Linked DNA regions of Caenorhabditis elegans. The protein of the gene in region 3 interacts with the protein of the main gene of each other region in a pairwise test. Each region holds a gene or a part of one and is shown on either strand. Other genes may lie near its edges.

Region 1 (3,579 bases), on a different chromosome or scaffold from region 3:
AAACAAAAATAAGCCATGATACAATTTGGAAATATTAAATAGAAATTCTGAAAATAAGCGATTTTAGGATTTCAAAACTTTATTATTTCGTTATTTAATTGTAATAAAGTTAGAATTTTTCTGAAATTTTCACAAATTATAGGCATTATTCAAATATATAATAAGAAAAATTTTCAATTCCAAGAACCAGTATACATGTATTAGCTCAATGTTTCATACAACTACGATATAAAACATTCAAATTGACTCACGTGCACACGGAACATCGAACGCTAAAGCTAATCGATCAATAATCAGAAACAAGAATAACACTTGGATGAATGGGCTATGCATTACTATGGCGAAGAAAAATTAGGACAGAACCGATTTGAAGATTTCCCTGCGGAAAGAGAGACAGAGATGCGACTATGAAAGGAAAATCATCAAGGGGTCAACACCGTCATGATCGTCGCCACGTCCGCTGTGCGAAGACATGGCGAAGTCGTACACATTTGACACACTAAATTATTTCATTAACCTTCCGTTGTTCTGTAAGGAATTGGATTTTTGAATGCATAAACTTTTATTTGTTGATAATTATTAAAACCAGTAAAATTCGAAAAATCCGAAAAATTCAAAAATGCATGCGCTTGAAAATTATATACTTATGACATTGAAAAAGGCAAACAATAATGAGATAAATAAGAACAGTGAACATTTTTTGTTAAGTAAGAATGAGTTTCGAAGACCAGTCACACATTATTATTACTAACAGATCTCAAATGAGAATTTTCGCGTAATACTGTTTGGAGAAAAACAAAAATTTTAGAGCTCGGCTGGGTCGTGTTTCTGGAGTTGCTCTCCGTAGTCGGTGGCCTGGGATCCGACGAATGTGTCGTAGTGGGCGACGATTTCATCGAGATTCAGTTTTCCGTCTTTGTTGTCATCGGCGATTCCAACCAAGTGACGAGCCTCAGCCTCGGCGTGGTCGAATCCAACTGGCATAATCCAATCGCGCATCTCCTCCTGAAATATAATCATTATTAATTAGACATCATATTATAGACATTATTATACCTGATTGAGTTTTCCATCTCCGTCCTTGTCTCTGTGCTCCTTGAACATTTCGCGCTCAGATTGAACCCAGTCTGGTTCTTTTCCATTCAACTCTGGGTAATCATCTGGTCTATACATATCTCCAATGTACTCATCAAGATCCACAGATCCGTCCTTGTTCTTATCAATATCATCGACAGTCTCGGCGACGACAACGTCTCTCATGTGATCACAGTCTTCTGGATGCATGAAGCAACCGTATTCGGTTCTGTCGAGGGCTCCGTTTGAGTCGTAGTCGGCAACAGCCCATCTCTTCTCGTCACGTGCGATCATTTTAGCGTATTCTGGAGAAAGCTCCTGGCCAGCTCCGTCAGCAGATCCGTAGACCATCTCTCTGTAGTCTTCCCACTTGATCTTTCCGTCGACAATCTTCTCGGCCTTGTAGTTCTTCCAGGTACGGTCCACGTCGTTGTTGACGTATCTCTTTTGCATGAAGTTGATGTGATCCTTGAGCTCGTTCTCCTCGATGAAGCCATCGCTGTCAGCATCCATCTTTGGAACGAGCTTGCTGAAAATAATAGACGTTGATTTGAAGGTCATGAGACTTTAAAAGAACATACGCAAGCTTCTCCTTTGACTTTTCTGGTGTTAATTCATCAAATTCAGCAGCGGTGTCTTTTCCGAGGAACTGCTCGTGATCGTACTTCTTGTCATGTTCCTTTCCCTAAAAATAACAGAACAGATATTTGTAAAAGATTATGCGTAAAACTGCAAATTACCTTGAAATGTTCACCATCTTTCGATGGATCGGATGAGTGATGGGAAGCAAGCGCGGTGGCTGCGAGGAGACCAACGAAGAGAAGAACCTTCATGTCCAGATCCTACTACCTGAAATTAAAAATAAATCATTTTTGAAACAAAAACAATTGAGAATACAAAACATAGGATAAGTGTGTACTAATTAACAATTACGATGTGAAGTGGGGAATACTGACGGCTCTTTAAAAGGATATACATAAATAGGTCAAGCAATCGGGAACACTTTTTATGCACCGTCTAGCGATTGTCTGAAGGCAGAAAGATGGAAGACAGCCCAAAACTACGGACAGACGCCCGATTGGAAGGAGTGAGTTGGCCTGCTTGCGAACTGTCAATCTCACCCGCCAGTGTTGACAGTTTCTCAATACCTCATATTGCTGCTCACGCAAACAAATTCGATGCCTATACGTTAGCCAGAGGCTACTCTTATGATTTCACAGGGTTTAAATGTTTCAAGAGGAGGGGTTTCGTTCTAAAGATTAGTACACGTAGCATAAGATATAAATAAATGTTATTTCTTGATTTCTTCATGGAAATAAAAATGATCAAGAGAACGCTGCAAACGAAGCGAATCAAGAGAAAATTCGGTGACTTCTTCTCGGCTACCTATGCAGTTCAGGATACTACAGTTTTAGCAAGAAGTGAGCGAGGAAAAGAAACCCTCTTGTAAGAGAGAGAGAGAGAGATGGTCATCACAAAATGGGGGTCAGTGCCTGCCGGGGCTGCCGATTTCTCAGAGCAGAGAGTACAGTGTACCGGGAGACGCAGTCAGAGGTTAAGTTAAAACATTGGAGAGACTATGCGGGAGGGCGGAGGCGGCAGACAATGGCCTGGTAAAGAGAGAAAGACTGCGGCGGGAGTAGAACAACCCCGAGACACACACACACACACATTCGTCCACAGAAAGAAAAAGAGAGCCACGTGTACAAATCTCGAGTCACTTGTTGGGATGAGTTTGTAGTTCTTCTCCTAGATGTTCTTCAAATTTCTTTTCTCGAAATTTTGTTCAGTGAGAATTGAGAGAACTCATACAAGTTTCAAAAACCTCAAACGTAGAACGTTCTACATGAAATTCGTAACAGGGATCTAGAACTTATCAGTACACATAAATACTATGTCTAGTGTTAAGAAAACCTCAAACTAGAAGCCTCCCATTGCCGTGAAGGTTGCTTAAAGATTCACAGTAGAATAAACAATCCGAGGCTAGTTAGTTTATATAGAATTCTTACTTTGAATAAACAAATGAAAGTCAATGGAAAGACGTCTGGTCAATCGGTCAGCGGCGCGACACACGTCTGCAGGGTTTAAATAGATGAGCCGTCGTGCAGCAGTTGTGTGGACCGTTCGAGAATCTTCTTCTGTTTCACAGCTGTCGTCTCCGCCTGGAACACGTCATCAAAAAAGATCTCGTCTTTTGCCTGTGGTGTCGACCCTAGAAATGCGGCGTGCCGGCCGGTGACCCCAAATCATTTCTTACCTCAACCATCATACAACTTATCTGTTTAACCATATCTTACATAGAACTAAATCGGCCTGTACGCGCCTCTGATTATCACCCCGGACCGCGGGGGAAAGGGACATCACATCTTTTCACTCGTGCGCGCGGCCCACTTACCCAGTTAGGAGGAACGAAAACAAAAAGAACCGAATACACATAAAAGATAAAGGTGAATAGTTCGAACAGATATTGTTATAATGGAACGATACAAATAAATAAAGAAATTT
Region 2 (4,627 bases), on a different chromosome or scaffold from region 3:
AAAAAAAAAGATAATCAAAAAATAAAGGAGATGAGTGTAAGGAGATCATGTGGTGGTGCTCACTGATTCTCGTGAGCACTAATTGAATAATTTTGAAAAAGCGTGACTGACATTTTACAACTACATGTCCAAACTTGTGGGAATTGCAAACTAAAAGAACACTTGAACGTTTGAACATTTAAGATTGAGAAAAAGTGTTACAATAATGAGTCAAAAACGGTTACTTGTTCTGGATTGTTCAAGGCAATTTGAATAATCTTCACGTTTACTCACCCGTAATGCTGCAAGCATTTTGTCGAATGACATGAATTTCGAAAGTGCCGCCACATTTGCTTCGAGTGTCATTTTTTGATTTTTGTGTTCGGAATGAAGTATAGACGTCCGGAAGTATATAGTAGAATGGTATCATCAGCACTTCATTGTTGTTTTCGGAATAATTGAGAAAGTAGGTGTTGTGAGAGGCGTGGTCCCAAGTTTTTGCGGTAATATGGAACACACACACTTAAAAAAATCGGGGCCGAACGACGACACAACAGGCAGCAGTAGCAAAAACTTCAGTGCGTCCTGTGTATATGTACGGTGCGTGTGTTTCACCGTTTGACCTTGGAACGGCCCAAAAAGGAAGCGAATTTAATTGTAAGTAAGAAGTAAGTGTGAGCACTTATGCTTATCGCTTTATCAAAACACCGGCGCTGATTACCGTAGTTTGGCGTTCCGAACAGGTTGTGGATAGGTTGATTGTTTGAAGATGAAAATTGAGATATTGAAGATGACGATGATGACACTGGACTTTAAACTTTGATCGTTGTTGGCAAGAATACAGCTTCTTTGTTTCAGACCTAGTTGGTCCGAATAATTTCAACTAGAGCTCACTATGAGTTCATTTATTTCAGGTATCGTAAAAGCTGAACGACTTTTCCAGAATTTTTCCTTTCGAATTTTTCCAGTACAGGTTTCATTGAAAAAGCGTTTAGATGTAGAAGTAAAAGTCCACCATTATCTTGAGCGCATTTTGTATCTTCAACACATGAAATTTCTCTCATCATTTTCTCGAATGTTGAGAGCACATCACACTCAAGAACATCAGTTCTTCTTTCCTCTCCACTCACTTCTAAACAATTCCCCGTCAGCAAAATGGCGTGAGTTTAACGCTGCACAAAACATACGCCGAACTTCGAAAAAGAGATGAAGACTAATTGATGAGAAACAATCAATAAGAAGAAGGATCGGATCAGAATGGAACTTTTTGAACTTATAATAGAAGCTTATTACAAATTTCTAAAACTGAATTAAAGTTTGATAACTAAATGTCCTTTAGAGTGTTATTATATTCATTTGTTAACACCATGTTTTCTGAATACACACAAAAATATAGAGCATTAAATTCAATGAACTGAAAATATATGTAGCTCCAATAATTCAAATCCAATAAGATTCTTGATTGAAGAAAAGAAAATCGTTTAGCAATTTAAAGTTATAGAATACTACCGCCAACCACAAAAACAACAAAAAGTTTCATCTTGGTGCAATGGTTGAGTCAAGTCATAATAATCTAACCTGATTGAAAAAACATAATAACAAACTAACGTCGTCATCGCTGTTTGGAGGTGTCAAGCAGTTATTCTTGCTGTGTATCCGCCTGTGGCGCTGAAATAAAAAAAATTATTTAAATATTATTTATGATATTTTTAATTACACTTGCTGGGCTTGACGATTTATCATCGTCGTCAATCTTTTCAACATCAATTACACTTGCTGAACCCGGAGTTTTTGACGTTTGAATAGGAGTTTCGTAAGAAACAGCAGAAAAGTAATATGGAGTTGGATAGAATGGAAGTTTGTGGAAATTGTGGAAAGAGTTACTATACATGGCACTGTGAGAGTATAGATGGCGATTGTATGTGTTGTTGCAATGATCTGTTTTGCCTACTTCATCTCGGCGCCCCGTTAAGATAGCCGTCGATTTCGGCGCTGGGAGGGTCGAACAGTTTTCAACTCCCCCAAATTGCACTTTTGATGTAGAAATTCAGAGAGAATAAATGTTGCTGCTAACAAGTGGTGGGAGGGTACGGTTACACAAAAGATAGAAAACGCACGAAAAGAGATGATAAGAATATGACTCCTTTTTGTTCTCAGAAAATATTGGCCACTCTAACGCTTATCGCTACAAATCGAACATTTAGACACAGACCGCCGAAGATGACATGTCAACGTTCTAAAATCAGTGCTGTTCTTTGAGAAAGAAGCAGACATATTTATGTGTTACTTATAACAGTTAAACGTTTAAGCTCTACGAATACTTTAGAAAGTAAGATTTTATTTCCGACACATTTTTGAGTGGAAAAGGGGAAATAGCTGCAGAGAGGACATTGTTTCATAATGCCGATTGTACCAGAATGGTCGAATTTTTCAGTTTTCAAACCAAATATGAAATTGAGAACATTTTGAAAATTGTTCTACCATGATATGCCGTTACTACATATTTTGTGTTTTTTTACTGACACCAGTAGATAGGCTTGAAGTGGCTTTGTAAGTTAAGACTAAATAAAATTGATGAGTATCAACTCTAAGAAAATTTCAATACCATTTGTTCGAAACTTCTACAAAATAACTGAGGTTTAAACATAAATGTTAACACATTCTTGTGAAAATGATGCAATATATTTTGCAAAAAAGGTCATTTCTACAAGACTATTCTGCATCTATTCCCACAAGCTTTTATTGATACTTTGGTCTTCTGTTTAGCTGATGAGAAAAAAATTATAAATACGGTTTCAACTTTAAGTTTGTTATAAATAACTTGTAAATATCCAATTTGTTCACCTTTTTGCCGATTTATACTAATTTTCACATTTTTGATTGCTTTACACAGTTTGTACTGGCTCTTCTCGGTATACAATTTTTTAAAGCCGTGAGATTTTAGAAATCACTTACCCTGCGGGTTACTCGTTTCCTTCTCACGACGGGCTCCTCTACCTTATCTGGGTTTTCATTTGTTTCGATTTCCATTGACTGTTCCGCAATGACTCCTCCATTTGTGCCCATTTAATTGGCGCCCGTTGCGCCGAAATGTGCGCTGAAAAATTTTCATTATGTTTTTGTAAAGCAAGTAAAGCAAGATTTTGAGCAACATGGAATAGCAAGGAATAAGTTTCCAAAGTACACACTGGTGATCAACAGCCACAAAAGAAAAGATCGGAAGAGACACAAGAACGGGGACGGGAGGTCGTTATTTGTGAATACTTTGTCATTTTTCTGCTGTGATTTTTTTTTTTGCGTGGAACAGTCGAAAAAAAAAAATTTTGCTACTGCTAATTTTAAACATATCTACTGATTGCGAGCAAAGTTTTGTAAAATTGAAACATCTCGATTAGGCAAAACAGATCTCGTCAAAACTTTCTCTATAAAATAAGTTTTTCTTTTTGATTAGATATTATATACAGTTATAACTTGTAACGAAAAATTGGGAAAAAAATGTTTTTTGATGAATGAAGCTCGGTAAAGTTATCTACATCGAAAGTTGTTCTTGACGACCAGCAAAAAAAAAACAAACAAACCAGATAACTGGGTTAACTGGTGCGTGGATATCTACAATTTAAACTGAAATAAAAGTACATTTTCATTATCATGTTTTCATCCGCTTGGTTGATGAGTAGAACTAAGATTTAGTCTCAAGTAGACTCTGCTGTTCATACTATTTCTGCCTTTTTGCTGGCACGCATAAATTGATAAATTATGTATTTATCTCTAAAAATTTAATTGAAAATCTGTCACTTCTGATTATAGTGTGTTTGTTTCATCAAATCCTAATGCTTAGCACCAAAAATCTGATTCGTTTCATTTTGACGTGAAAAATTGCTAAATTGGAAAGATGAGAAGCTGGAGAGGAAGGCATTTGAAATTTGGATTTGAGATGGCATATGGGGAGGGAAAAAGCGGAACAATTGTAAAAAATGTCGTGGTCTCATTCACTCAACACATGAAACTGCACCTACTGAGAAGAATATGCATTTCTGGTGAAATATTGAAATAAAACAGCACGGAACGAACAAAAAAAGGTTTTAGAGAATGTAAGAAATTGAAAAATAAGTTGTGGTGCACTCAATTCTGAGTCAAAAACAAAAAGATTGAGTTAATTTTCAGATAGAAATTTGATATTCGGCCAAGAAAATTGATGAAATTAAAATAAAATCGAGTTGCGGCATTTGAAGAACTTTCAATGTTTTCAAAATGTATTTTGATGCAGAATAATGTTGCAAAATGGAACAATCACGAAAGTGAAATAAAAAATCTAAAAATTTATCTCAAAAGTATTAAAAAAGTTTTAAAAAATATTTTTGACTAACTTAGGGAAAAAAATTAATTATTTTTGAATAAGTTTAATACAAAATGTAAAATTAAACTTAATAAAAATTACATCTCCTATTCAACTGATTAATGGAAAAAGGAAAGTACTGAAATACTAAATAAAATTAAATTGAAAAAACCATTTTTAGAAAATGTTTTCATTTTGAATCCAACTTTAAAAAAATATCAGTTACATTTAAGATCACTTATCAGACAAATAAAATTATTTTCAAAAAAAATAATTTGAGGAACCAAAAAATGAAATACGATTAGCAATGTG
Region 3 (4,191 bases):
CATTTTCCTATTTTAAATATTCAAAATAGCCTAAAATTGATTTACCAACTTATAAATTGTTGCTGTCTTATCACACTTCTATTTAAAATGCTGTTGAATCAAATTCAAACAGTAAAGTGCTTTTACCGGACACCCACGTTCTATTTTTGAGTTGTTTAGCTACTTATTTCATCAGGCACATTTTTGTTTGCTTAGGAATAACTGTACTTCATAAGTCATATTTCTGAAAAGCACTTGCAAACGTTGTAAGTTCACTGTAAATTTTGTTTATGCTTTGAACAACTACAGTCTTCATCTAAACTTCGAAGGTCATTCTCTGAAAATGTGACATTCTGCTGAAAGACTTCCGCATCCCCCATTGCCCTTTTTTATTTTCCTAAAAACTGGGTAACTGATCAATGAAAGTGCAAAACGGAAACTGGAAATGAGAGAAAAATGACGTGAACTTGTCGAAAACAACTCAAAAGTCTAAGCCACATGATTTAAAATAGTACGGTACTTGATGTGTTATTTTTTTCTGAAAACTACATTTGGATGAACTTATCAATTTGCAGAATGTTTATTCATATTTGTTTGTACAGATTGATTATTTTTAGAATTTAAACGTTTAATTTTTACAAAAAAATGTTAATCATTTGAAAGGCTGGGCAATGTTGTGAGAATTACATTGAGACGTTTGGAAATGAAGGTTTAAGCTTAAAACAGGAAATACAAAGTTGGAAAATATGAAACGGACATAAAATATTAAAGCATTGAAGTTTTGTTCAAAAACATTAAAATTAAATTTTCCTCTTTGACCATCCAAAAGAAACAGTTCTAGTCAAAGAGAAAAAAAAGAGAAGAGCAAAAAATGGAACGGGGAGACGAAAAATGCACACGCAACGGTTGATCCTTGAGACGTAATAGTGAGTAGTTTTTGAGAGCAAAATAGGGGCTATTTCAACGGGGAAAACTGTAACCTATCCATATTGAGTAAAATTGAACTTAGAGTAAAAGCTGGTTGAAAACGAAAAAGAAGTGGATAGGTATAAATAATGAGAGCTAAACGTTCTACTCTGCAGCTACAAGTTCCTGACGCACAGTTTCCTTGACCAAATCATCAAGTGAAAGGCCTTGTTGTTTTTGACAAAAAGCTTTTTTCTCCTCATCGGTTTTATCGTCGAGTTGAAAAGCTTCAATGCACATACATGCGACTGCCGCTTGGATTCCTTGAAGCATGACTAGTTGTGAACGGGGCTTCTGCTGAAAATAAAAAGAGTTTAAAAAATGTATTTCAAATTTCAAAGAGTGTGCAAATTGAAATTTTATTGAACAATTTAAACTTAATGACAGATCAAATAAAAATCAAATACTTTACTTTCACACCAGAGCTGCGTTTTTAAAATTAATTTTCTAAAACAAAAATTGGTTGTAAAATATGCAGTTCTGTCAAGCACGACAATATCATTAAAATGTGAAAAAAGTAGAAGAATAGAGAGAAGATTTCGATTTAAACTATTAAGAAAAGGAAGAATCGAAAAACTACTAACTTGTGTACCTGATACTTTGGGTAGTGGCGGAATGGCGAATCTGGTCCGACCTCGTCTGGAAGGTCTTCGTCTCGAATAAGACGGCGAAGTGGGCCACTTGCGCTGACTTCTGGCTCTAATTTTTGAAGGGGCATGGATTTGAGCACTGAAATTTAGAATTGTAAATTTAAATTTATAAAATTTGAATATACGACTTACATTCTTGAGTTTTTCTTCTAACAAGATCCTCTTCCTCTTTTGTTACTTGAATTGGTCGAACTTTATTTGGATGCACATCTGCATCATCATCTTCTACTAATGTTCGGAGCACAGATGTAGTTATAGAGCTTGATGAGGGAGACGAATTCGAGGAACATGTAATGGTACTTGTTGTAATTGGAAGTGATGGTTCCATCTTTCTTGTTCTCTTTCGTCGTTTCTCTTGATCTTTTCCGTGTTGCAAAGTGGCAGCGCTTGAAAATGCTCTTGGGCGTCCATCAGCTGCTAATCCAGCAGTAAATTGGTTAACTGGTGAGTTCATTGCAGCTTGAACATCTTTTTGTTGTTGATAAAGGGCTGAGTTGATAAGTCCCAATGATTCGATTGTTGAGTGTGGTGGAAGATTCAAGTATGGCAAAGTAGACAAAAGTGGGAATCCAGTGAACAGGCCAGGATAGGCACCTAGGGAAAGCATTGAAAGTGCTGTCATATCGTTGATTGGAGGAAAAATACATGAAGATGTAGAAGTAGATGCCGATAAATCACTGCTTGATGCAGATGATGGTTTGCTCTGAAATAATGAGATTTTGATTTATATTTTGCATATTTGATTTAAAACTTACAGTTACTGGGTTAAGAGTCAAATCATGTGGCAAGGCAGCAATAAGAGCCTGAAGCTCAGCGCTTCCAAGCTGGGAAGTCAGTTGGTCCATTTCTTATTCTTTTGAATGCAAGGGAAAAGAAGATATCCCTGAAAATATTCGAACGTTTTTCAAATGTCACTGTAATCGTTTAGGAATTAGAAAAATAGGAAAAGGAGGAACAGACTAGTGAATCAAAACGACAAATCGCAGTGTCGAAAACAAAAAGGACAAGGGAATCTGGAGGCAAAGTGCAGAATTTCGGCGGCGGCGGCGCCCGCAAGTGTACTGAAACTGGAGATTCATCTCTGAGCGAATGTGATCAAGTTTTGATGGAAAAATGTCGGAAGTCTAACAAAAAATTTCAGCTTCAGTCTCTGCCAAACAGGGAATTCGAGGGAAAAAGTGGTGAACCGGTGTCCTCAACAATACACAGACCACGCACACACACACACACGTCTATTCTATTCTATTTTGTCACTTTTCCTTCTATTTTTTCTTACTTTCCCTTCTAGCTTTGTCGTTGTTTTTTTCCCGGTTTACTCTCACTCTCCACACTCACATATGAAAAACAAGAAGTGCTTTAGAGACAGACAGGCGTGCGCAATTGGTTCCAAAAAGGATATGAAGGTGCCCTTCATGGTATATAAACGATGATGATCATGACAAAAACTGGAAACTGAAAAGGTGAAGTCAAGTGTACTTCAACTGAACTTTTTGCTTAAACTAATAATTTTCAAGATGCCAAAATGAGGATTTAAGGAAGATCGGATGCCAATTTTAGGGTTAGACGGATAAATGAGGGATTCGATGTCTTAAAAAACAATCAGTGACTCAAATGCACTTTTACAAAAATGAACTGATATGAATAGAACTTTGCGTGAAAGCGTAAAACGATTTGATAAGCTTCCTGACAACTGTGACCAAAAAAATGACAAGCCAAAACGTGAGTAGCATGGCAATGAGTGACTGACGTCCTGGCATCTCGACAGAAGGCTCCGCCCACTTACGCTCTCGGAAAGGAAAAAAAGATGAAGAAGGGGGTGGGTGGGGCATTGAGAATGCTAGGAAAAGTGCAAAAGAGGAGGAGAAGAAAGAAGATTATGGAAAGGACTAATAAGATGCGAGCAGCTGAAATTAATGATGTAAAACTAAAAACATTATTGGGCACAGGTTATGCATTGCTCAGATAGTTCATATTAAATTTATCTGCACTTGTTGGCAAATATACAAGAGATAGCAGCTGATTGATATTCTAACTATGGAATATGAAAATTTACTTGAGCACGAAATTGACGTAGTTCTCAGAATAACTGAAACAGACACATGTACCAGACACATGGACACACATCATGAACTTTTTGTTTTGTTTTTATTCTTCAATAACTGTTCTGATCGTGATCACTAAAAGTTCGCTTTTTTGCTATTCATTTCTATTATCTAACTCATTTCTTATCACAAAAAGGCATCATGAAGACGGAAGATAAAAATGTGATTGAGACCAGATCAGATTAGAGAAGCAATAACAAAATAGCAAAAAGTACAAATTGACCACGTCAAGATCTCACATGCAGGTGTTATGTGTTATGTTACATTATGAAGAAAAAATGAGTCAGTATCTATCAGAAAATCTGACTAAGATTAAGCTTGAATAAGGAAGAAAAAGGAAAGGAAAAGGAATGGAGAAGTATGAGAGGTCGACCTTTCAGTCTGGGGATGCCTAGGAGGCCTGGCGCTGCGGGGAAGTGCGAAATAACAAAAGGGCATGTAGAGTATGATGGAGAGATAGACGACACACACATTTTCTCTCCACGCTCAGAAGA

What was found. Proteins that work in one complex are often made in the same cells at the same time.
Region 1: the proteins of F45D3.2 (region 3) and calu-1 interact in a two-hybrid assay, tested with the Caenorhabditis elegans proteins (one large-scale study listed by BioGRID).
Region 2: the proteins of F45D3.2 (region 3) and daf-12 interact in a two-hybrid assay, tested with the Caenorhabditis elegans proteins (one large-scale study listed by BioGRID).

What each region holds. Positions count from the first base shown.
Region 1 is NC_003284.9:4,968,989-4,972,567, forward strand, and holds calu-1 (Reticulocalbin-3), read right to left. Parts: upstream 1,924-3,579; 5' UTR 1,908-1,923; coding exon 1,815-1,907; intron 1,760-1,814; coding exon 1,656-1,759; coding exon of another isoform or gene 1,604-1,655; coding exon 1,057-1,603; intron 1,006-1,056; coding exon 805-1,005; 3' UTR 546-804; downstream 1-545. Other genes in the region: M03F4.6 (EB domain-containing protein), read right to left, coding at 252-333.
Region 2 is NC_003284.9:10,642,858-10,647,484, reverse strand, and holds the start of daf-12 (Nuclear hormone receptor family member daf-12), read right to left. Parts: upstream 3,046-4,627; coding exon 2,935-3,045; intron 1,648-2,934; coding exon 1,588-1,647; intron 1-1,587. UniProt on the Caenorhabditis elegans protein: Nuclear receptor which binds directly to response elements in target gene promoters. Activity is modulated by binding of steroid hormone ligands that include dafachronic acids.
Region 3 is NC_003283.11:12,539,327-12,543,517, reverse strand, and holds F45D3.2 (Homeobox domain-containing protein), read right to left. Parts: upstream 2,480-4,191; 5' UTR 2,441-2,479; coding exon 2,351-2,440; intron 2,299-2,350; coding exon 1,728-2,298; intron 1,675-1,727; coding exon 1,538-1,674; coding exon of another isoform or gene 1,530-1,537; intron 1,243-1,529; coding exon 1,051-1,242; 3' UTR 541-1,050; downstream 1-540.